Drosophila melanogaster: one gene and its partners. The protein of the gene in region 3 interacts with the protein of the main gene of each other region in a pairwise test. Each region holds a gene or a part of one and is shown on either strand. Other genes may lie near its edges.

Region 1 (7,199 bases), on a different chromosome or scaffold from region 3:
TGGGTCAGCTGTGCGCATGGGCAGAGTAACTGTTTTCGGTTTGCTCTCTTTGCTTTCGTCCTTCCCCTCTTTTATACCATCACTATGATTGCTCTTTGTTGAAAATCCGCGACTACTGCGTAGAAAATAAAATAACAATATTTATATGTAACTGTTGCATGAGCATTATTTCGGATACATGGCAATTTACCAAAATGTTTTTGTCATGTTTTTCTGGCTTTTGAGGCCCTGTCTCACTCACACAAGCGCACTTGTTTTCACAAACGTATACCGATTAAGAACAAAAAAAAACTCCGTAGTTCAGCATGGAAAAGGTGTCATTGGAACTGCGACTTTTCCACCAGTGATTAACCATTTAATTCGAAATACTTATTTCATCAACTTATTCCCTTGTTTTTCATAATTTATTGTCGCCGCCGTTGCTGTTGTTGTTGCTGTTTGCTGCTTGGCTTACCGGCTGTGTGCGAGTGAGACAGCAATGCAGCGTGGGAGAGGACGAAAGCAAGCATGTGGAAGAGAAACAGAGAGCGAAGCGCGTGGAAAAGTTGTAATAATAATAATAAGAACGGAGCCAAACACTAACGCCCAACTGAGCAGCAACAACAGCAACTACAGCCATACAAAACGTAAAAAACACCAAGTTGTTTGGCCTTCGATGTCTTTTTCAATTGCGTCGCAGAATGAAACACAAAAAAAAAAACAATACAGAAACACCACACTCAGCGTGTGTATGCATATGTACACATATATGTGCGAAACTTTGCGCTTTTTGTTTTTGTTTTCCTTACACTTTTACCGTATTTTTATAAAGGAAAGGGGCTAGGAATAAAGTTAGGGGTAAAAATTACTTGTATTCTACTTAAAAAACAAAGCTGATACTGTTGAAAAAAAATTGCACTCCCATCTCACGCACACACACACGACTGCATCTACAATGCAACTTTAAAGAGAGAAATCTGGAGCAATATAAACCGCAAATAGTTCATATTTGAAGTACAAACTCAGTTTTGCGGACGTTCTTTGCAAAAACGGTTTTAGATCGTTTTGTAACTAGATAACACACACACATAACATATGCAAACAGAAGTTACGAACACAACATATCGACAAGCTGTAATAGAACTCGCATACTTTTCGCTATAGCTGGTGACTTTCGAAAATATTATGTTGACTCCCGAATTCCAGGCAAATTCGATCGCGCCAGAGCAACAATCAGCGCAAAAAAACACATCCAGTGAATGTGACCGCGCGCACGGCGAAGGAAAATACCATCCGGCGCAAATCAAATACCAAAATGTACCACACCAGTTTCGATAACCACCTAGTAAACTGTTGAATTCGGCCAGCTGTTTCAAATTAGTTTGTTAAGAACCAATAAAAGTTAAGTTTTCGCAGACAATGTTTCTTTAATTTTGACAAGATTTTGAAGCATACGAAATATACAATATAAGTTCCTGAACACTAATTTAATCCACCGTTTTCTTTACTATAATTCTGGAAGGACTGAAAACTTGTTCCTCTGCTAATCTGTGGAGTCCTCAAATTTTCTCTAAAAACGCTACTTCCAAAAGTCCGGTTATCGATATCTGACGTCAGGGCTGCATGGACTTCGTGTGAGTTTTGAATTGCCGTTTGAAAATAAATGTTTTCCCCAGCATTAAAGCAGCATTTCTCATTGGCTCTTGATGGTAGCTGCGATCCACGGTAGAAACATTGAATACAAAACTCTCAACGATTCGGGATATCATTTGATTGATGTAATGAACTCTTCAGAGGTTTCCTAATTTTTGGCGGGAAGTCGAGGGCTCCCTAGTGCCATCGTCATCTCTAATGGCAACTAAAACATAGCAGACATTTAATGAACTTTCACAAAACACCTAGATTCAGCTGACCTCTGAGAAGGCTTCCTGACATTTCGACGTCCCAACAAAAATTCCCAGTAGCAAAACACCAATGGATGCGACGTGGTGAGTGGGTCTTGGGATTTTATGAATCCCGGTTGCTTACGGGCTTCTAATTACTGATTTTGCTCAATCTAATGCTTCTCCAATTAAGCAGGGCAATGGAGCAGCTGCTGTCTGCAGTTGAGATGGGAGGTAGCCACAGCGAGGCCACCACACCAACGGCCACGACCACCATATCGATCTGGAGCGCCCCCTCCGAGGGCAGTGGCTCTAGTTCCATGGACCCTGTCTCCTTTCGGTTCCACTTGGACGGGCAGCCTATACTGCCACCGCTGGTGATTTAAATTCTTGGTCAGGGAGTGGCATTTACTGAGGCGTAACCATTTTACTTTGTTCCAGATGACGAGCGCCAAGAAGCGCGAGGTGCAGCTGGCCCGCCAGATGGCAGAAGCGCTGGAGAAGCGGTACCGCCTGGCCAGACACTCGGCGGGATCCGACATGGCCAGTAGGAGAAGTGTGTCACAGCTGCAGCAGACAGAAACGTTAATCTATGACAGCACACGGGGCCAGGCTCGTCCTCAGACTCTGGTCTTTGGCAAACAGTTGCCCACCATACAGGTGGATCCTCCCACGCCTCAACCATTTGTGAAATCAATAGAAAACACTTCCCCAAGGCGGCATAATCGCATTACCGATCGTATCCTGCAGTTCGAGCAGTCGGGACTGGGTAAGCTGCTGCCCAAAGTTCCAGATAAGTGTATCCTGCGCACAAGTCCTGCGGTAGCCGAAGACCAGCAGGATCAGGATACAAAGGACACAACGGCAAGGGAGCTCGGCAGTCCACTGGCAGAACCAGCTAATTTTCAGCGTTCGAGAAGTTTCACACTAGAGGAGCCCTCCCAGGTTCTCGTGGAGCACATGGAGAGGGAGGCCCTGGCTGTGAAACCCAGCCAGAGTTTGGCCAACTTCGAGAAGCAGACCATCGAGTCTCAGGCCAAGCGGGTGAACCGTAGTGCAAGGAGTATTAGCAGCAAAATTAGCCACAACAGCTACAATAGCAACAGTAGCGCCGCAACCAAGAGCACCATCGCCACTAAAACCACAACCGCCGGCAGCAGCTGTTCTAGGCGGGATCGCGAGGTGGAGCGTATAATAGAACGGGCGCTGGACGAGCATGGCGCTTTGGAAGCCAGCCGCAAGGCAGGAGTGCGCAACTATCTGCGTGGCCATCGGGAGCGAATGAATCAATTGGTCATTCACCAGGAGAAGGAACGTCGTCGCATGCAGGCCGAGTTTGATCATCAGCAGCGTCAGCTCATAGAGGAACTGTGTGCCGAAATTGATGTTTCCTCGGCCACCGAAAATCCTGACAGTCTGATATCGCAAAGCACCAGTACGGGAGACCTGCAGCGTTTTTCCCCCTCGCCTACGTTACCCTCCTTTTCAGAGGACATAGAAGACTTTCCGACGATGGAAGACAAGTGCCAAATTGCGGGGCCTTCTTCCGCTCGCAAGAGGCTGTTTAGTCCAAAACCATCAAAGGACTCGGAACCGCAGCTGCTCAGTGCCCCCAGCACACCGCGATCGTTGCCCCTCCGGAACAGCAGCTTAACCAATAGCAGACGAAGTGTCCAAGTTGTCCGGCGCCGATCGCAATCTGTGGGCGGTAGTCTAGTAAAAACAATCACCGCAGCAGACCGCGAGGTGAAGAAATCGCCAGCGAAGCCTGGAGGTGGAGCAGGACGACCGAAAAGTTCCCCGGGAAAAAATAGCTCCATTATAGCGAAAAGGGGAAGCGCCCCACCAAAAAGCGCCTCACCGACCAAGCGGCTGGGCAATGTAAGTTTTTCAAGCGAATCTGAGCGATATTTTATTTGCTTTAAGTCACAAAGGTTTTCATTTGTGCCAACCTAAGTTAGCAGCTAATTTGGTTGGACTCTTACTTTAAATCTCTGCTATTTGACCTTTCCTTTTATTTAACTAAAGCATTAACGATTTTTTATTTATGGTCCTCTATTTTTATACCCGTTACTCTTAGAGTAAAAGGGTATACTAGATTCGTTGAATAGTATGCTACAGGCAGAATGAATCGTTTCCGACCATATAAAGTATATATATTCTTGATCAGGATCTATAGCCGAGTCGGTCCGGCCATATCCGTCTGTTCGTATGAACGTCAAAATCTCAGGAACTATAAAAGCTTGAATATATGTTGGATATTTTTCACAATTTTATTAGACATGTACATTTCTATTGACATTTTTAATTAATTTTTAAATTTTTTCTCATTTTATTCCCAATTTTGTATCGATATCCCAGAAAAATTATGATGAAATTTCTAGTTTGCATATCCACTAGCTGAGTAACGGGTATCTGATAGCATTCTTTTTTGCTTTATATTGATATTGATATTGATATTCTTAGCATAATCACTTAATATAATAATTAGGTATTTTATCCCTAAAAAAGTGAAAACCTTGGCGATATAATCTGTAATATCTATTTCCTGTACTCCCATTCTATTATTTCCTCTTCCCCAACACAAACAGCGCAAGAAGCCCTAGCAATTCGGGTAGTCAGTTATGCAAGTGCCTTAACAAAGACTGCGAGGAAATCGAGGGACCAAGCCTCTAGCACCAGTAGCTAACCTAATTACTAACCCAACTAGCAAGTGCCTTCGTTCCCTGTTTAATTTCGCCTCTAATCCCTGCCAGAAATATGTCGAGCTGAAACAGGAAGAGCGCCAGTGGGCGGCCACACGTATTAATGCCGGTGTGCGAGGATTTTTGGTCCGCCGGCTTTTTGCAACCGAGCAAGTGCAGCGCATTGTCCAAACCATCAGAGACACCCTGATCTTCGTGTTGAACCTGCACCTGGAAACTTGTGGACATGGCCTGGATGCAGAGGAGCCTGCAAACTTGCGCCTCAAGGCGCGATTGCTTCAACAGGTGGGTTACTTGGTTACTTGTCTAGGTGTAAAAGGTGCCAAATGTGTACATTAGGCTTGGATGATAAAACTAGAAATTAATTATTATCTGAGTGAAGGGTATGCGATAGTCAAAAAACTCGACTGCAGTGTTACCTACTGTGCTTACATTGACTTTGGTTTAACTTTGAGTAAGCAAAACCAAAACTACTGGTATTTTAGAATAATTAATGCGATTTTATATAAATATTTGATTTGAAATTGCCTTGTTTGCAAACTTAATACAAGCTGACTACTTTTTCCTTTATATTCATTGAATTAACTCATAGCTCTGCTCCGCCAGTCGTACCCTGCACCTGATCTTCTTCCAGACCAACATAAAGGACCGCATGGAGATCATCGCTCGGGATCGCCAGAGGATCAAGACCAAACTACTCCTCAAACATCGCCGATTGGATTAGGATTTCATAGGTTAGATTGCTCGAATAAAGGAGGAAACGATAAACGAAGCATTCTTGTTTTAACTAAACACATTTTTATTAAGTTTAAGTTTTCTGGTTCCACTTTCTCTCTATACATTTTTACATTTTTGTACCCTTTTTGTACTCTACGAGTAAATGGGTATACTATATTCGTTGAAAAGTATGTAACAGATAGAAGAAAGCGTTTCCCATTATAAAAAGTATATATATTCTTGATCAGGATCGCTAGACGAGTCGATCTGGCCACGTCCGTCTGTCATTACGTCCGTATGAACGTCAGGATCTCAGAAACTATACAGGCTAGAATGTTCAGATTTATCATGCAGCTTCCAGAGACATAGACGCGATTTGCCAAAAAACTCTGCCACGCCCACTCTAACGCCTAAAAACAGCCAAAAGCTGTCAAGCCCACACTTTTGAAAAATGTTTTGTTTTTTCTACGTTTTTTTGCTTGTTTTGCCCATTTCTATCGATATATAATAAAAAAAAACTCCCAAAACGGCGTTTGGCCCACAGCGCCCACAACTCGAACCATTTACATATATATTTTTTCTCATTTTATTTCCCAACTTTGCGTTGGCATATTCATTAGCTGAGTAACGGGTATCTGATAGCCGACTATAGCAATCTCTCTTGTTATTATTTAATTTGTATTATGGAATATATATATTTGAGCTGAAATGGAAGAAAATATGTATATGTTAATACTTAAATATTAAGTATATTTTTAAATATTAAATATTAAAAAAATATTAAAATAATATAAAATTTAATGGGTAGATTCGGTAGTATCCTTAACTACATACACAAATTAATTCTTACGATTAATAAGCAATTCTAACAAACAAATATACATACTAGTCGCAATATTGAACTGAAATACATTTATATACTTATTTTTGGTTATATCTCTCTATTATCTTTTTAATACCTTTTAATACCTTTTCTTTCTTGATTTACAGAACAGCTGTTTGGCAAAAGCCCGCGTGATTTTTTGCAGCCAAGCTTTCAAGACATTGCGGAGCTTTCTAGACAAATTCGCCCTGAAAGCTGCGGCGGATTGCCAAAACAAACGGAACTTTTAAAGCGAGTAGTCGTGTGTGCGTGTGATGGCCTTAAAAGAAAACAGCAAAGGCAGACAAATAATCAAAAGCGAGAGAAAACTAGTTTAATAACAATTAATTATTAGTGAGCACGTAACCCACAGCAATTGGCCGACCTCCCGCTCATCCTGTTATTCACCCAGCTGCCCGCGTGCCTTGCCCACCCAATTCCATAATTCCGCCGGCGGCGAATTTAGAACGACACACCAAATTGAAAAAATAATAATACAAATAATAAAACCACACCAATAACAGATTTCGTAACTCGTAAATCGAAGGACAGTGAGAGAAAAAATCGTTAACAAAAATATAAGCGCACACTTATATTTTTAACACGCGGCAAAGTTGCGTGCGTGGGGGTGAGAGTGAAAAATGTAAAAACAGAATACGAAAAACGTTTCCCAGTGTTGTTGTTTGCTCCTTGTTTTGTTTGGATAACTCGCACTAACACCAACACAAAGGATTACCATGTCCTACACCGAGTTGGAATCAGGGTACCAGGATATATCCCAGCAGCATCAGCAGCAAAATCCGCATCAAAGTCAGCCGCAGCAGCGGGTCGGTTTCTACTTGGGATTACAGGATGGCAACGTATGCGCTCCACCGTTTTACCACTAAAATCTAGCGTAACCCACTAAAACACATAATTTTTTTTATTTGCATACTATATGTGCTATACATGCACGTATTTATTTTTAAAACAAGTCAAATCGATTTTTATTTAATTTTAAATAGTGTTTTATAAGAATGTGAAATATAAAATTATGAGCATTGAAAAAGTATT
Region 2 (5,309 bases), 1.5 Mb from region 3:
TGCCCCCGCCAAAGTCGCCTCCGTGCAGATCCTGGCCGTGCACTCAATGTCACGCTTGCGCACACAGGTCCATCGGAATATGTCGCCCTTGTAGGATTTCCCGGCCAGGTAGTACAGATGCCCGTCGATGCAGACCATCACGCGGCCGTCGCGGCGCCGTAGCATGTACACACGATCCTTGTCCTGCGGAATTAGAGTTCGTGTTAGTCATTTTTGTGCTGTAAAATTGTATATGAATTAAAAATGGTACATCATGGGAAATCTATTTAGGTGTAAAATTAAGTTAAGTGTAAGTTCAAAAGTATTTCATTCCCTTGGATATTCCCTTCAGTAGGGTGCATGTTATAAAATGATTGGGTCCCATTTTTTTCAAAAATCCCTAATATTTAGTTTCGTTTGGAGATATATAGTATTTTTTGAATCATAAATGATTAAGCTTTGGTATTTATTGTCCTTTTAACGGCCTAGCCGGTGGATTTGCAAATAGGAAAATAAATATAAAAAACAAATTGGCGGGAAACCATCTCATTACTAAGGTGAGCAAATTAACCTTTTTTTTACATTATCAAATGTTCAAAGTAGCGGTGGTTACCGAAATATGAATCAATATTAATATCAATGTTCTTTCTGAAAAAGAGACCCAGCTAGATTCTAAATAAATGGTTGAGTTGAGTATTCAGGGGCATGAGCCAGGTACAGTTGGCCTGGGGCCGTACCTCAAAGTCCAACTGGAACGAGGCCTCCACGGTGGAGGTGTCGATGCTTCCGTAGATGAACTCCGGCGGATTCATGCCGGCGTTGGCGCGCTCGTACAGGCGTGCTCTCTTCGGCTGGGTGGTGCTGTAAGCGTCGTTCATCATCATTACGGAGAGCCGCTTGCGCTGGGCCACCTTGTTGACCTCGTGATCGCTGCAGCGCGGGTGGATGTGGGCCAGAACGACGTCCACGACGACGTGGCGCGTCTTGTCCAGCGGATCGGGCAGCATGGTGCAGATGCGGGACTTGCAGGGAGTGGACTTGTCCTTGCGCCTGTTGCACAGCCATCGGTAGGTGTTATTCCGCCCGATGCGATCGAAGTGGTACAGATAGTCGTCCACGCAGAGCATATCCACGCCCTTGGCGGAGCGCACCACGGACACCTTGGTCAGGTCCATGCCGTGCTCCTCGACGGGCGTCTCCATTTTTGAATTGGTGCGCTGTTTGGCCCGAGCCCGGAATTCAGCGTTTTTCGATTTGCCCTCGAAAAGTGTTTTGTATCGTAAATTAGGCGATTTTTTTAGTGGCTGGCTGCCTGGGATTTGTTGGTTGGGATTTTTGGTGGTATTTCGTCAGCTCACTATTTGCGCGCCTTTTTGCAAACGCCGGCCATTTACCCAAACGCACTGATTTATTGCAGTTTGATGCACTAAAAGGGTTTATATTTGGTTTTTATCACTCGATTTTAATTGCACAAGCACATTTTCTTTTGCGACGCGTCGAAAAATGCTTTTGTGTGGGATACGAGGGCTGCGAGCTATGCGGTGGCGTTGCCACTTATCAAAATCGGTTATTTTTGTGACGTTCAAAAATTGTAAATATTGATGTTTATTATTCACTTACAGTTTGGTGAGATTTTTCCCGTTGGATTCCCAGGACGAGGAGAGCGTGGGCGATCTTCTGCTACAAATTGACAGTATCTTGCAGTACGGCGAGGATGCAGACGTGAACGTTAAGGACTTTGATGAACCGGAGGAAGGGGATCAGGATTGAAAAAAATCAATTTTTCATATTGCTTAAGAAAATGTACAATATTTTATTTTTAATAAAAAATTAAATCTAATCAAAATGCATGTCTAGCACCATCCCTGACCGCAGAGTTGCCACTGGTACAGTGTTGGACAACTGCTGCCGTAATTTTAAATTCCCCTACGCGTACGGCGTCTAAACAAAACTGCGATTCTAAGAACGAATATAAAAGCATGCAGGAGGCTGGCGAAAGTCCTGTTGGAATGCCTCTGAGCCAGGAGGCCATCGCACAGCGTCTCGCGGCGCTTAGTCGTTGGCAGGACGAGCAGAAGCGGCTGCTGCAGGAGCGGCAGTCCAATCACCGCGTTTTGCTCGGCTTGGAGCAACGTAATATGTACAAAATGCTGGGACTGCTACACCAGGAAACGGAAAGCCATGAAAACAGTGTGCTGGAGGAGTGGGACGAGGAGCACTCTATACAAATGCCGCGACTCGCGGCGGATCCGGACGAGCACGAGCCAGAGATTTCAATGGCTGATCCCCAGCCGGCCAAGCCTAAACGCCCTTTTCTGCGTCGCGGCGAAGGTCTAAAGCAGCGGTTCAAGATCAATCCCGACCAGCTGCGCCTGGAAAACCTGCCGCGATACAAGTTCGCTAATGCCCACCCTCAGTTCCGCACGCCTCAAATGAAAAAGGGTATTCTCAAGAAGCAAGTCAAGTCACCTCCCAATCCTGCGCCTCCACCAGCTCCCAAACCCTCAGCACAGCTCGACGATCTCAACGAGCAGCGCTTTCAGCAGATGCTTATCGGCAAGAACGCCTGCAGTTCCACTCCAGATCTAAAGTCTTCCTATGCGTCCTCCACAACCGCCTCGAGCACCTCGCCCAGAGTTCGTTTTGTAGAGCAGAAGAGCAGGGCGGGACAAACCACTCATGCCGATGATGAAGCCTCCTCGGAAGCTAGTCCCATGACAGGAGTTTGCTGGGCCAAGGTGCTGGACACACAGAGTATAAAGCCAGCGCAAATCCAAAGACGCTCTGCTCAAATCCGAGTGGAAGATGACAGCAATGTAAGCATATTCGAGCTGCTCGAGCAGAAGGCCACTGAGGGAAACATTGATATGAACTCCAGCTGCATTCGAACCTTTATGGCGCGCAAAGATCAGCGTCGCCGAGTAGCTGATGACTCCGATCACATTGTAGTCACACAGCAGGTGCGTCAGATGCGATTGCAGCCACAGGTGGACCAGATGCTGGTGCAGGAACTGCAGGAGGGGGACGAGGAGGACACCGAACCGTCCAGCGATCAGACCCTCACAATGACACCCATCCAGGTGGGGAATACTAAAGTGCGAGTGCGTTTCTCCGACTCCAATGACACGCACGAGTACTCCGATGCCACCAGCCTCAACGACGGCTCCAATATTCAGCTCTTTGAACAGTTCAAGTCCGCCCTCTTCCAGGCATTGGAACAGAAGAAGAAGTCAAGTCCCAGCAAGGAGTCAGACGAACCCATAACCAAAGATCTTCAGGAGAAAGCCAATCTCGTTCGCACTCGCCTCGAAGAGCTGGAGACAGAGATAGCCACCTTCAAGGAGCAGAATGCCCAACTCCTTCGCCTGAGGCAGCAACACGAATTGGAGAAGGCAAAGTGCACACAGGATCACATGGAGGCCATGGAACGCGTCCATGACGAAAAGATTCAAGCTGAAATTTATCTGCACGACGAGCGCATGAAGATTGAGGAGGAACGACGCAAGTTCGAGCAGCAAATGCGACTTCAAAAGAGCAATGCAAACAGCAAGGAAAAAAAGGAGATAGCCGCCTTGAAACAGGAAGTGGAGGGACTGCAACTCCAGCTCAAACAAAAGGAGCAGGCGCATGTCTCGGCACAGGCACGACTCCGCGCTCAACTGCGGGCCAGTGAGAAGGAGCAGCGAAACTACCGTGACGAGATCGAGCTGCTGCGCAAGGAGAACAAGCGCCTAGAGCAAGAGCTGGTCAAGATTGGCCGCGAAAACAACAGCAAGATGCTGCAGGAGATCAATCGAAACATAGCCCGGCTTGCCCCCAAAGTGGTAAGTGCATGCTTGTGTGTATATCGTAATGTAACTAATGTCTTCATTTAGTTACCTTCCGCGACAATGTCCGATATCCTCGATGAGAACGGTCGGCGCACCCAATCTCTGGACGGCACTGCTGGTAAGCCTGCCAAGCAGCGAGAGGCGCAAAACCGTCGTCAGAGTAGCGGCAGTGCCCAAGTGAGAAGTCGGAGTCGCTCACTGAGCAGGAATAAGAAAACACCATACGCTCTGGATGAGAGCTACGCCTCTAGTAGTTCTGTGGAATCGGAGGAAGTTCAGCCGCCCGTGACCGCTCCGAAAGCTGCTACCCCCCCACCGGCTGCCAACTCCAGCAGTGACTTTAAGCGGGAGATTACGAATGCGGATGGGAGCAAGGACATTTGGTACCCAAACGGCAATCTAAAAAAGATAAGCGCCGATGGCATGAACTTGCGCATGCTCTATTTCAACAAGGATATCAAGGAAACTAACATCAGGGAAGGCACAGTGAAGTATTACTACGCTGAGACCAACACTTGGCACACCTCCTACCTAGATGGCTTGGAAATACTCGAGTTTCCCAACGGGCAGACGGAACATCGCCGCAAGGATGGCACTGTTGAGATTCACTTTCCCAACAACAGCATTAAGATTGTGGATCCCAGCGATACGGAGAAACTGGAGGAGTGGCGTTATGCGGATGGAACCCATCTAGTGCAGCTCCGGAATGGTGACAAGATTCTCAATCTGCCCAATGGCCAAAAGGAGATTCACACCAAACTAAACAAGCGAAGGGAGTATCCGGACGGCACTGTGAAGCTAGTGTATCCGGATGGCAGCCAAGAGACGCGCTACTCCAACGGCCGCGTTCGTTTGAAGGACAAGGATGGCAAGCTCATAATGGACACAGACTATGCCAAGTATTAGAGTCGGGTCTCTGCTTCCGTTGTTAAGTAAATTAACTTAAGTTTTAGATAAATAGAAAAGACGTGCTATTTTTAAAAGATCATCGTAATATTCTTTTCTTGCTGATAAATGGGAAATTGGCTCTATTTTAGATTATTATATATATTGTTTGGTTTTCAATTTGTTAGATCAAATGTAGTAAATTATTCATAGAATGGTATTCTACTCCGCGTTTACTCCTTCTTGGGCCATGGAGAGGTGATGGCCGAAGACCTTGGGATGCTGATTGAGCAGCTTGGAGGCGAATTGCACCATTTGCTCGAATGTGAACTCCGCCTTGGCACGTGGTCCCCAAAGGAAGAAAGTCTTGGAATCATCGTAAGCACTTAGCTGTGAGCGTTCCCGCTTCAGATATTGTTGCTTCACAAACGTCTCCTCGATCTGTTTGCGCAGATTGGGGCCGAAGTAGCCATGTTCTTCGTCTGGATAGATGTTGAGCATCTCCAGCATAACGTACAGTTTCGAGTCCTCGATGCGGTTGCCGCGCAGGAAGATGTACATGAGAATAATATACAGCAGCGTGAACTGCGGCCGTTGAGCCGGCGTCAGCTCGTG
Region 3 (5,767 bases):
TAATTCCAGCAACGATAAACTTGTAAAGAGCGGCGTGCAAACTTCGCCAGATGGTGAGTGCTGGAACACTTCTCACAACATGTGAGAGAGCTATTTTTGACCTTTTGATCATTTGGAGCTTTGAATTGAACACTCTATGGATGATTGATACCATTTAATCAATGGATTTCTTGGTTTCTATTATTATTTGTTTCATATTATAATTCGGTGATTTCGGTGTACATCACAAAAGCCCAACAGCTATACTATCCTTGACCCATTTTATCCAGAAATAATAGTACCATGAAATATTTTATTTATTTAAAAATGTAACAAATTTACCTTTCGTTCGTTTTGCATAAATAGGGAAGGTCACAAACATACCAGCGACCATGGTGAACAACCAGTTCGGCATGGTTGGCCTGCTGACGTTCATTCGGGCTGCAGAAACGGATCCCAATCTGGTGACGCTCTCCTTGGGTACGGATCTCACGGGTTTAGGCCTGAACCTGAACTCGCAGGAGAGCTTGCATACAACCTTCGCTGGCCCCTTCGTAGCACAGCCCTGCAGGTCAGTTTACATAATAAACTTACATAATTTAATTGCTTATTGAGTACTATTGAGTAAGAGGTGTACCAAATTAGTAACATTGGATTTGCATTTACTTTTTTCAGAGCACAAGACGTTGAGTTCAACGTGCCACCCGAATATCTGATTAACTTTGCGATAAGAGACAAACTAACAGCGCCGGTACTGAAAAAGCTGCAAGAAGACCTGCTCTTTTTCCTTTTTTACACGAACATCGGCGATATGATGCAATTGATGGCAGCTGCTGAATTGTGAGTACTTCCTCTTGCGTAGCTATTATCTAAGCTTCGTATGAACATATATAGAACATACATATATACTAAAATTCTGCTCCCATCGCAGGCATAGTCGCGAGTGGCGATACCACGTGGAGGAGAAAATATGGATAACTCGAATTCCTGGCATTGATCAATATGAAAAAAATGGTACAAAAGAGCGCGGCACCTTCTACTACTTTGATGCGCAAAGTTGGAAACGTTTGTCCAAGGTTTTCCAAATAGATCCCGAGAAATTAGATAAATGTCCCAATATAAGTGCGTTTATGAATGGACAGTCTGTATAAAATTAATAAAAATGAAAAAAATTGAAAAAGAAAGTATGCTGTTGTTTTTGCATTGCAACAAGGACACTCAACACTAACTGAATAATAAGTTTTATTATAAAAATTAAAAACAATCCATTTGAGTTTTTCTTCTAAAACGGTGTTAGGATATATATACATACATATATGCATATGTATGTATGTGCAAATTCTGGTACAAATTGCCGGTTAACAATTTAAAGCGATTTATTTTTATCCTGCTGGAGTCTAGTTGGTATTCATATTTTTAGAATATCTTTGAAATGTAACATTTTTTAGCTGTTCGATATTATGAAATGAGCGGACTCCCATTAAATTAAAAAGCAAGTTATATTTTTTCGATTCGTTGAAATGTATTTGAAAGGTAGAAGAAATTCTTTCTATAAAGTGATCCTATAAAAAATTACTGGCCGTGTCTGAAAATACATACCTGTCATCTGGACTAACACGACATACATATGTATGTATATTCCAATAGCAAATCTACTGCATTCTGCAATGCACAACAGCTCCCCCTATCAATGATACGACGGAACCATAGTTGGCATGATAATACATACATACAATATCATCTTCAAGCTTGTGTATGCCTGGCAGGTCTATTGTCGGGGCCACAATCTTTTCGACATATCGGCAACTTTTTGGGAAAATATTTATTTTTAAATTTAACAATTACAGTTTATGTACAAGTATAGAATAAAAACCTAATTCCCTTCTAGACTGTATGTAGTGTGAACGCAATGTTTTCGCTACAGAAGCGCTTACTGCACTTAACAGCACGCGTTACTATGTTAATGTCAAAGTGTCAACAGAAGCAAGAGGAAGAAAATTAGAGTTGCCTACGAAAATAGCGCCTGCGCCTCGGAATTTATTTGAATTTGATGCTTGTGGCGTCCCCTTAGCCGAATATGAACACGCCAGGTATAAGCCTCTTTCAGGGGGCGGATGCCCTTAACATAAATTCTACACTGGACCGGCAGGAGGAGGAAGAGGCGCTGCAGGATCAGAAACGACGCGAGGAAGAGGTAAGCGATCTGGGAATTCCTGGTAAACAATGTCACCGATTCCAATTCTACGCAAGCTTGGACGGATTATGGTGAATGCCTTCGACGATCTGCTCGATGAAGAGAACACAATCGACTCGACGACGAATTACCAGTCGGAACTGGAACAGCCGCCAGTTCTACCCAACTACCCATCACATCCGCACCATAAACCGCTGCAGGACGATGCTCAGCGAGCCAACGAGATCGAGATGCATCGCCTCCAGATCCTGCTGGAGTCTAAGAATAATGAGCTGCAGAATGTCAACCAGGTGGCCAACGCTGCGCACAAAAAACTGGATGACTTACAAAAGCACCTATCCATCATGCAGGCTGAGCTAGACCGCGCCATTCGCGAGAAGCAGAACACTCACGAGCTGTTGGTGGAGACCAAAGAGACGTGCTCCAATAAGGACAGCGATCTGGACAAGCTGCGGTCGGAAAAGAAGCAGTTGGAAGAAGATAACACGCGATTAGTTGGTCAATTAGAGGCCGCCAAGACCTTGCTTACGGACGTCCAAAGCAAATACGACATGGTGCAGGCCAGTAAGCAGAAGTGGGAGGAGCGGAACGCCGACCTACGTTTAAAGCAAATGGAGGAAGCGCACCGAGCCCAGTCCGATCTTTTGCAGCAGCAACTCTGTCAGATGAAGGATCAGCTTGATCGCAAGCAAAATGAGTTGGATCAGATAAACTCGCGCTACAATGCTCTGCAGTCTGGTCACGAAACAATGCTCGTAGATAAGGCTGCCAAGATTAACGAGCTCAGTCAAGCTTTGGATGAGGCCCAAATGCGCTGCAACCAACTAAGTGCAAGACCCGATTTGCAGGCTGAAAATCGTCGGCAGCAACAGTGCATCGTTGACTTGAAAGCCCGCATTGCCTATTTGGAGCAAACAGTCGCTTCGCTCCATGAGCGCCTAAACGAAACCACCACGGAACTTGACCTGATAGATTCGGTTATTCAACAGCATCAGGCGGACGAATCGCCTACTAGTCGGCTAAGTCAAATGGGTGGATCGCGCCTTGTTGGTAGCACACCGCTGAATCCTCTAGACAGAGTCGGTCACATTAAGCAGGAGTTGTATCGAGCTCTGGGCAACCTGAAGAACAAGCGGGAAGAAGTGCGACGCCTAGAGAAGCTCCTGGAGGAACGCAACCAGGAACTGCGCGTGCTGCGCGACCAGGAGAACCAATCCCTGGTTCAGCTGGAAACCCTAAACGAAGGCAAAATGCGGTTGGAAAACAAAGTGAAGGCAATGCAGCAGGAGTTGGAAGAGCAAAAACACAGATCACAGCAGGAGTCAGATGTGCACTCACAGCTGAATTCCATTGTGGCCGAGAGGGATGCACTAAGGGAAAAACGGCAGCAGATTGAAGAAGATCTGGAGCAACTAAAGCAGCAGAACGAGAGCCTTCAAAGAAATTACGATCAGCTTTCGCAGGAAAATCGGCAGTTGCGAACTCGAGAAACTGCAGACAACCTGCGCTTGGAGCTGGAACGCCACAAGATTCTGTTGAGGGATTCCCAGAGCGAGGTCGAGCGGCTTAAGAAACTCTATTCTGACATCGCCACAGACAAAGAGTCATTAGGCTATGAATTGAGAAAGCTGAGAGAATCGGACACGCTTAAGGAGTTGCAGGATCAACGCCAAAACTTGGCCACTGTTCAGCGAAACTTGCAGCTGGCGGAGATGAAATCAGAGGAGCTAAAAAAGCTTCTGGAAACGGAGAAACTCAGCCACGAACGTGATCTGCAGGCCTTGCGCCAAAGGAGCGAGCGGGAAAAGCGCGAAGAAGCAGTTGCGGTGGCCAAAGAAAGTTCCGAAAACTGCAGCAAGTGCATTGAAAGCATAGCAGAAATTACCAAGGTAAGCGATAACCTTTCAGACATGCTAGTAAACTAAATAATCTTATATATCACCACGGTTTTTAGGCGGAAATTCAGTTGTTGAAACTCCAGAATGTGAACTCAATGCAGGCCAAGGAACTGAAAGAATTGGAACACGCGCTGGAGCAGTCTAAAAATTTGCAAGCCGAGATGCAGGAAAAGATCGAGCTTTCAAACAAGCAGGACGAGCTCATTAGCGATCTTAAGGAGAGGGCCAAGCAATTCGAGGCGTACATTAGGCAGCAAGAGGAGCATAAGCAGCAGAATAAGTGTACGCCCAGTCCGAAATCAAACTCAGTTTCCCCGTCTGATCCATCGCCCAAAGAGCTCACCCAGAATCGGATAAGGTTGATCGAACAACGTGTTCGTGATGAGATGGCCAAACTTTTTGCAGCAGAACTCAAGAGGTTTACTAACCGGCTGCAAAAATCTGAGGAGAGGAGCCAGTGCCTCCAAAGGGAATACCAAACGGTGTGTGCAGAGCTGCAACAGCGGCAAACGGAGGTGGATCTTCTAAAGCAAACTATCCTGGCAGAACGCGAGAATATCGATGAAATTCTGGCCGGCAGGGAAGAAAAGCAAAAGGAAATGCTGCAGAAGTGCCGCCAGGAGCTGCAAGCGAAGAACCAGCGAATTGCCGAACTGCTCCGAGAAGTGGAGGAGCAGCACGCCAGCATCGACTCCGAAAGGCAATCTATGAAGGCTGTGATGGCTCAGTGGGAGAAACAGCGCCAGTCAGTCGACCAGGTGGAACACCACTGGCGCCAGCAGCTGGAAAGCTTGCGTTCCACCCACGAAGAGGCGATGCGATCCGCACAGCAGCGATATCAAAGTGCCAAGCGTACCGCCCACAATTACAAGTTGTATGCCGAGGACAAGGAGGCGCACATGAAACGCGAGTATGAGCGCATTAAGCACGAGTACGAGCTATCACTCGCCAAGATCGAGGCGACCATGAACCAGCACCTGGAGCGGCGGAGTCGGGAGAAGCACCGCGACAAAGAGAACGTGCCCAGCAATAGCAGCAGCGACCCAATCACCAACTCAAATAGAAAGCCCAAAGGCAATGGTCACAGCTAAGACTTAGGAAAATATATATATGTATATGTAGGTCTCTTTAGTGGGATATCGTTACTGCATGCACTGCCAAATTGTCTAAACAAATAAAAGTCGCTGTACATTCCTAACAAAATTGTGCTTATAAAAATCAGCTAAAAAAGTGAAAGTTTATCATTAATATTAAAAAATAGGTTTTTTATTTGATTGTTGTTTCTAGTAGGCTCATAATTTTTTCATTTTTAGTTTGAAAAATCTGGTTCCAGCACTTGTTGAAAATGTCGAAGAATTTGTCAATCTCCTCTCGGGTTATTCCAATTCCTGCCGCTACAGTCAGGTACGGAACTTGCAGGTTGCTGCGGTGGGAGCCGAAATCTAAGCGAAATATTCTAAATTTTAGTCGGAAAACAAAGACGATAGTGAATATTACTTGCCTAGAAACTCATGCCCGTCTATAGTTTTATTTTGGCCAGGAACTATCACTCTTGCTCCGGAAACTCCACGCATGTGTAGCATGGAGCCAAGCTTGGTGATGCTCTTCATCTGATCCCCAGCCAAAGTGGCCAATGTTATGGCCAAGGATATGGAGTTAAACCTGCTGTCTATAACAATCTCTCCGCGTGGCTCTG
Region 4 (5,793 bases), on a different chromosome or scaffold from region 3:
CCAACTACAGCATCAACAAGTTCTCGCAGAACTATGCGAAGAACGAGGATTTCAATGCCTGCCAGGGCCACAAGTGGACGCTTCAATCGCTGTGGTCCTGCCTGGAGAATCGTGGCGTGAACACTAAGCGCCTGTGGGCCACGCTACGGAATCTGGTCATCAAGGGCATCGTGAGCGGGGAATCGGGATTGAATCGCATGTACCGCCAGAATGTGAACTTTCGCTACAATTGCTTCGAGTTGTTTGGCTTCGATGTGCTCCTGGATGAGAATCTAGTGCCCTGGCTGTTGGAGATAAATATATCGCCGTCGTTGCATTCGGAATTGCCACTGGATCTGCACGTGAAGGGTCCGCTCATTCAGGCCGTGCTGAATACGGCTCTATATCAGGTGCCGCCTAAGCTGAACGAACGTCAGCAGGCGGACATCCTGGAGGAGCTTAATCTGACCGGTCCGTTGTGCCATGACAAACGCATCTTCACCACCTGCCTGACTGCAGAGGAGGTCCGCAAACATAACCAGTACACCAATCGGAGCATCGAATTCCGGGAGGAGTACGTTGATACCATACTGGACAATCTACTGCCGGACGATGTCCGTTGCCTGATCGTTGCCGAGGACGAGCTGGCCAGGTGTCAGCCGCTGGAACGGATCTTCCCCACCGCCGGCACACATGTATATCTGCGCTATGTCGAGAATGCCCGGTACTATAATCGCCTGCTGGACGCCTGGGAGACGAAGTACGCCAAGAATAGGGAAATGGGCATTGCCTTGCTGTCGCGCTATTGCCGGGACAAATACCATTTACAGGTGTCGGACGCCGCCATGGAAAAGGTGAACGATCAATTCAATTCAATTGAATTTCCCCTTCCGTACCGCTTCTGTAGTCCATTTTCAAGTCATATTTCTTATCTAGGAACCAAATGTTGCACTTACCGAGATCGATATGCTGCACGTGCGAAAGGATGAGGTCTTGGACGGTGCCACCACGCTGGCCATACTTAAGCCCGTTGTCCAGGAGGGCTGCGAGGTGGCGCCGATTCCGGATGCCTGCATCGAGATCAAGTCCTGAAATTGAACCGAACTATCAGCACTATCACCATTGCTTCTTCCATTGCCATTGCCATTTCCATTCCCGTTTCCGTTACCAGCTCACAGCTGTGCCAGCATCCCGTGCAGATGTGCTCCGGAATTGTATCCGCTCAGTAAATTCACTTAACTTCGATCGTCTTTGGTGGCAATAGCCTGTTTTGGCATCCAGCTAGAAATTGGATCACACGTCATTTCAGTAAATATAAAACACTACGGGGTGTTTAAAAAAATTATGAAAATAAATATTTTATTTAAATTTAGTTCTTATTATTTATTCTTTATGCGAACACTGTAAACTGTAAAGAGTATCGGTTTTCTTATTGGGTAATTGCTCAGCACAGTACTAAGCTTTTTGAACTACGCGGGCTTTGGCAGTTGCGATAAGTCTAAGGAAGTGCAATCGATAACTAGCGGCGCAGTCTTGAGTTTTCAAGCTGCCGATAACGACATCACGCCTCCAATTATCGATAGACGTAGTATAATAACAATAAACAAAAATTCACTGTATTGCACGGCGCTAAAATAAAAATTAAGTTTGCAAATCATGGCGTGGACTGAATTATAAACCCGGCTTGAAACCAAAGGACTGCAAGTGGAACAGCTGAGCTGCACACTTGGGAAATTGCCAATCTGAAACTGCGTGGAAAAAAGAGTGGCCCATTGATTTTTCGCTAAGTATCTGCTGATTAAAAAAAAATTGACCGCAGCGTTGGAATTTCGGCCTGCCAATCAGAAAAATGAGTGGTAAGAAGCCAGTTCTATGCAAGAATGGGCACTATATATTAGTAACTAATAATATGATTTGCGGGGATTGGGATTTGCGTGCTGACTGTATGGGAATTTGCAGTCTGCTTTTGGGGAGTTGGGGTTAATGTTCAGCGGGCCGGGGGCTTCGAGGTCCTGGCTAAAAAGGACGCACCTGCGCCCTGACCTCCTCTCCAACTTCTTGAAAAGTGCGGACCCCTCGATGAAGTCATCAATTTTGTAACATGCACACGTATACAGTGAAGCTTGCATTATGTATTTCCTTTTTGGGCTTTTTGTTTTACATAATTCTGATATTGTGTTTAATGCATAATAAGTATGAAGTGGTAAACCTTAGTTTCTACCCACTGTGCTTTGTTAACCCAAACAGGCGACGAAAGTGGCGAGGAGAAGCACGTCCTGAACTTGTCCAAGCAAAAGCTGAAGAAGGTGCCCAAGCAGGACGATGCGCACAGCATACGGCAGCTCATCCTGGACGAGAACGAGCTGCAGAAGATCGACAACATAGACTCGTATCTCAAAATTGAAACGGTGACTTGCAACGTTCTGCGAAAAGAAACAAGTTCCTAATTAACAGAAATTCAAATATTTCAGCTCTCCTTGGCCAGAAATCAATTGCTGCGCATGTATGGCGTCTGCCGGCTGCATTGCCTGCGTGAACTGAATCTGTCCTTCAATGGCATACTCTCTATCGAGGGCCTGAAGGAATGCATCCATCTGCGCGTTCTGAATCTGGAGGGGAATAACATCAAGACCATCGAGCATCTGAACACGAATGTCAATCTGGAGTGCCTGAATCTGGCGGATAATAGCATTGGCAGCATTTCGGATATGTCCTATTTGCGCAATCTCAAGGAGCTATATTTGCACGGAAATCGCTTGACGCATCTGAGGCAGTGCGACAAGTGTTTGCCCACCTCACTGGAAACCCTAACGTTGGCCAAGAATAGCATCAACGATCTCAACGAGATCTGTACGCTGTCGCATCTGAGCAACTTGCTGAGCATTTCCATTGCGGATAATCCCTGTGTGACCATGATCAACAGTTTGGAGTGAGTTAGCTTAATGGATCATATGGATTGCGCTTAAAATGTAACATCTCTTGCAGTGGCTTTGATTACCGACCTTTTGTTTTAAACTGGTGCATGAGCCTCAAGTACATCGATGGCTTTGTGGTCGATCCTATTGAGAGTCTTAAGGCCGAATGGCTGTATAGCCAGGGACGTGGTCGCCAGTTCCGTGTGGGCGAGCAGCAGGGCTTGGCAAAATACCTAAGTTCTGTGTGCCCGCTGGTGGGCAAGGCGCTGGAAAATGAAAACGATAGGAAACTCCGGCTGATCCTCAGCAAGGCGCAACACCATCAGCGGCAGCTGCAGGAAGAGATCATGGATAACGCAAATAGTTCTGCCAGCACTTCGCCCTCATCCCATCGCAAGAAGCCCACGAGTCGCATTCAGTCGCCCAGATGTAAGTTATTAACTCCCTATCTATGCTTTTTCATATAACTTATATTTTTCTGTCTTCGATTTAAAGTCTCCCGCTTGAGTGGCCGCCAGGGATCACCGGAGTCCATGGTGAATAGCTATCACGGGAACAGCAGCAACAATAGCATTGTTAGCGACAATGGATCTACGAATCATTCGCTGCAAATGAGCATTTCGCTCATTGAGAACATTAAAAACGATGGCGAAGGCTTTAGTTTGGCCGGCAGCGGAATGTCCAGCAGCGTGACCACCAAGACATACAATTCCACGGAGTCCACGCCACGGAATATAACACCCAATCCCTACAATGGTATGACAATTAAAATATATTCAATGCAAGAGTGGAAAATGATGTTAATAGTAAACAACAATTCCACAGATCAAACGTTCATCAGTCAAACCCCATCTGGTGGTCCATTGGCGGCTGCCTCGAAAATGGTCCCAGTTCCGGAGACTCTGATGAGCCCGGATGTCTGTCCCGCCGCTGTGGCCCAAAGAGTTACGGTTACGGCACTGAACCCTCAGCTGCACAAGACCAAGATCAACAAAAATAAAGGTAGCCAGTAGTTGTTACTCTAGACTTTTAAAACGACACAGATTTCTAAAACATACATACACATTTACACTACAGACAACAAACTGAACTTGCCAAGAGTGCGAAGTCCACAACTGAAGAGGAACCAAAGCCCTACGAGCAGTCCACGGAGGATGGCCAATAAGTGCAGCGCGGACAACATGCAGGCACCGGAGAAACTCCAGCAATCGGCTGTTTTGGCCGATAGCGGTGGCTTCAGCACCGACGACGACGGCGAGCAAATCAACATAGAGAAACTGAGAGCAATCCGGAAGATGGCCGCTCAGAAGCAACAGCAGATGCATCAGGAGCAGCTGAAGCAGCAGGTGGACAACAACCTGAACTGCCAGGATCGGCTGATCGAGCACGTGACAGAGTCCTCGGCCGTTACCATCCAAAAGATGTGGCGAGGCTATCACACACGCAAGAAGACCAACAAGGACATAGCCGAGCGATTGCAGCGACGACGCACACAGGAGTATATCGAGTAGGTGGTCTCGTTTTAGGCAACATATATCGCAACTTTCTAATGCTCTATCTGTCGCATTCCTCAGACAACTCGGCAAGGATATGCTACTTACGAAGGCCCAGCTCGAGAACGAGCGAAAGATTCAGCAGCTGCAGATGCAGGCCATCAATGCGCTGTGGAAAAAGGTGTCCACCATGGAGGTGGATCCCAAGGGAATACCTGCTGCTGCGGAACAGGGCGAGGACTCCAATGGCGGAGGGTCTGGCCACCTGAGTCTCGATCAAAATTCAGCCGCCGTGGTAAATGATTTGGCGAAAAGATGCACCATGCTCACCGATCAGGTTCAAATGCTGCAAAGCTCGATTGGAACCATCGTCAACTGCCTCACAATGGTGTGCAATCTGCCGCAGGACGCTATTAAGAAGCAGGCCGAGATCATTGATTGCAGCTCCACTCAGACGGACCTCATTGCCGTACACACGCCGCAAATAGAGGACCTCACCAATTTTCCATTCACCAAAACAAGGCCCTCAACCTTGGCCCTAGAATCCAAGCACGAAGCTGCTCTGGCTTGTCCCAAAATCGATGAATTGAATGATGTCGACCTGAAGGAGACCCAAGAAGACTCGGAAAATCTTGATAAAGATCCATGAACAAATCCCAGTTAATAAATGAGGAGTATAAACGCTTTAAGGGTCGATCTCAGCGCTTATTAATTCCTTTCTTAGGCTTTTGTGTAGCTTTTGCAACAATATTAGATCGGTTACGAGAACTTAGAAGTAGCACCAGCATTCACAAACACATTACTTTGTTACATTCCTGAGATGCAGCGATGGTGGAAGACTTAACAATAGTATGAACAAATCGTAAATACAAATTTTTGTAAAGCACAAAAGGTGTTCTTGATTGCGGGCAGATTTTGTTCAAAAACAACACCAGCATTAACCAACAGTTTTTTTTTAATTAAGTTTGACAAATTTGTAAATAACCTAACTATGTGTGTGTTTGTACATCGTTCAGTCCTCTTCGCTGGATGTTTCCTCATCTTCCTCTTCGTCGGAGGAATCGCGATTTACAGGCCGATTTGTATTGGGCAGGAGATCATCCTCGAAATCGGAGTCGTCTTTGTTTTGGCTGGTGGCTTCCTCCTGTACAGGTTTCTTTGTGAATTTATCCGGCCAAATTGCAGCTTTTGTGTATTCCTTTATATGTTCGGGTGTGAGTATTTTGCAAATCTCGGCTTTGACTTTATCGCCCTCCTCAATCGGTTCGACCAGCAGAAAGTCGCCACGTTTCACCCACATGCTCTTGCGGAATTTGTTGGGCATCGAAACTAAAAGGGTCAGAAGGATACAAATTCATTATTAAGTATCAACATGAAATGAGTTGGGATGGGCTATCTCAACATGT

The links.
Region 1: the proteins of asl (region 3) and Cp110 interact in a two-hybrid assay, tested with the Drosophila melanogaster proteins (2 studies listed by BioGRID).
Region 2: the proteins of asl (region 3) and Sas-4 interact in a two-hybrid assay, tested with the Drosophila melanogaster proteins (3 studies listed by BioGRID).
Region 4: the proteins of asl (region 3) and Cep97 interact in a two-hybrid assay, tested with the Drosophila melanogaster proteins (2 studies listed by BioGRID).

What each region holds. Positions count from the first base shown.
Region 1 is NC_004354.4:22,480,784-22,487,982, forward strand, and holds Cp110 (centriolar coiled coil protein 110kDa), read left to right. Parts: upstream 1-1,611; 5' UTR 1,612-1,757; exon of another isoform or gene 1,758-1,881; 5' UTR 1,882-1,953; coding exon 1,954-1,967; intron 1,968-2,055; coding exon of another isoform or gene 2,056-2,058; coding exon 2,059-2,239; intron 2,240-2,303; coding exon 2,304-3,743; intron 3,744-4,453; coding exon of another isoform or gene 4,454-4,468; exon of another isoform or gene 4,469-4,618; coding exon 4,619-4,852; exon of another isoform or gene 4,853-4,963; intron 4,964-5,159; coding exon 5,160-5,291; 3' UTR 5,292-5,301; exon of another isoform or gene 5,302-5,337; intron 5,338-6,274; 3' UTR 6,275-6,675; downstream 6,676-7,199. Other genes in the region: l(1)G0196 (lethal (1) G0196), read left to right, coding at 6,884-7,006.
Region 2 is NT_033777.3:7,149,450-7,154,758, forward strand, and holds Sas-4 (spindle assembly abnormal 4), read left to right. Parts: upstream 1-1,917; 5' UTR 1,918-1,958; coding exon 1,959-3,803; intron 3,804-3,854; coding exon 3,855-4,715; 3' UTR 4,716-4,770; downstream 4,771-5,309. Other genes in the region: CG2656 (uncharacterized protein), read left to right, coding at 1,602-1,749; gfzf (GST-containing FLYWCH zinc-finger protein), read right to left, coding at 1-183, 717-1,181; MAGE, read right to left, coding at 4,917-5,309.
Region 3 is NT_033777.3:5,602,736-5,608,502, reverse strand, and holds asl (asterless), read left to right. Parts: upstream 1-1,959; 5' UTR 1,960-2,056; coding exon 2,057-2,173; intron 2,174-2,229; coding exon 2,230-4,062; intron 4,063-4,127; coding exon 4,128-5,162; 3' UTR 5,163-5,267; downstream 5,268-5,767. Other genes in the region: Rga (regena), read left to right, coding at 1-53, 346-550, 655-819, 911-1,130; SecS (Sec synthetase), read right to left, coding at 5,338-5,513, 5,573-5,767.
Region 4 is NT_033779.5:3,866,154-3,871,946, forward strand, and holds Cep97 (centrosomal protein 97kDa), read left to right. Parts: upstream 1-1,543; 5' UTR 1,544-1,828; coding exon 1,829-1,835; intron 1,836-2,226; coding exon 2,227-2,387; intron 2,388-2,450; coding exon 2,451-2,908; intron 2,909-2,964; coding exon 2,965-3,323; intron 3,324-3,389; coding exon 3,390-3,650; intron 3,651-3,719; coding exon 3,720-3,896; intron 3,897-3,936; exon of another isoform or gene 3,937-3,971; coding exon 3,972-4,401; intron 4,402-4,468; coding exon 4,469-5,036; 3' UTR 5,037-5,272; downstream 5,273-5,793. Other genes in the region: TTLL4B (tubulin tyrosine ligase-like 4B), read left to right, coding at 1-833, 916-1,071; CG31957 (uncharacterized protein), read right to left, coding at 5,400-5,716.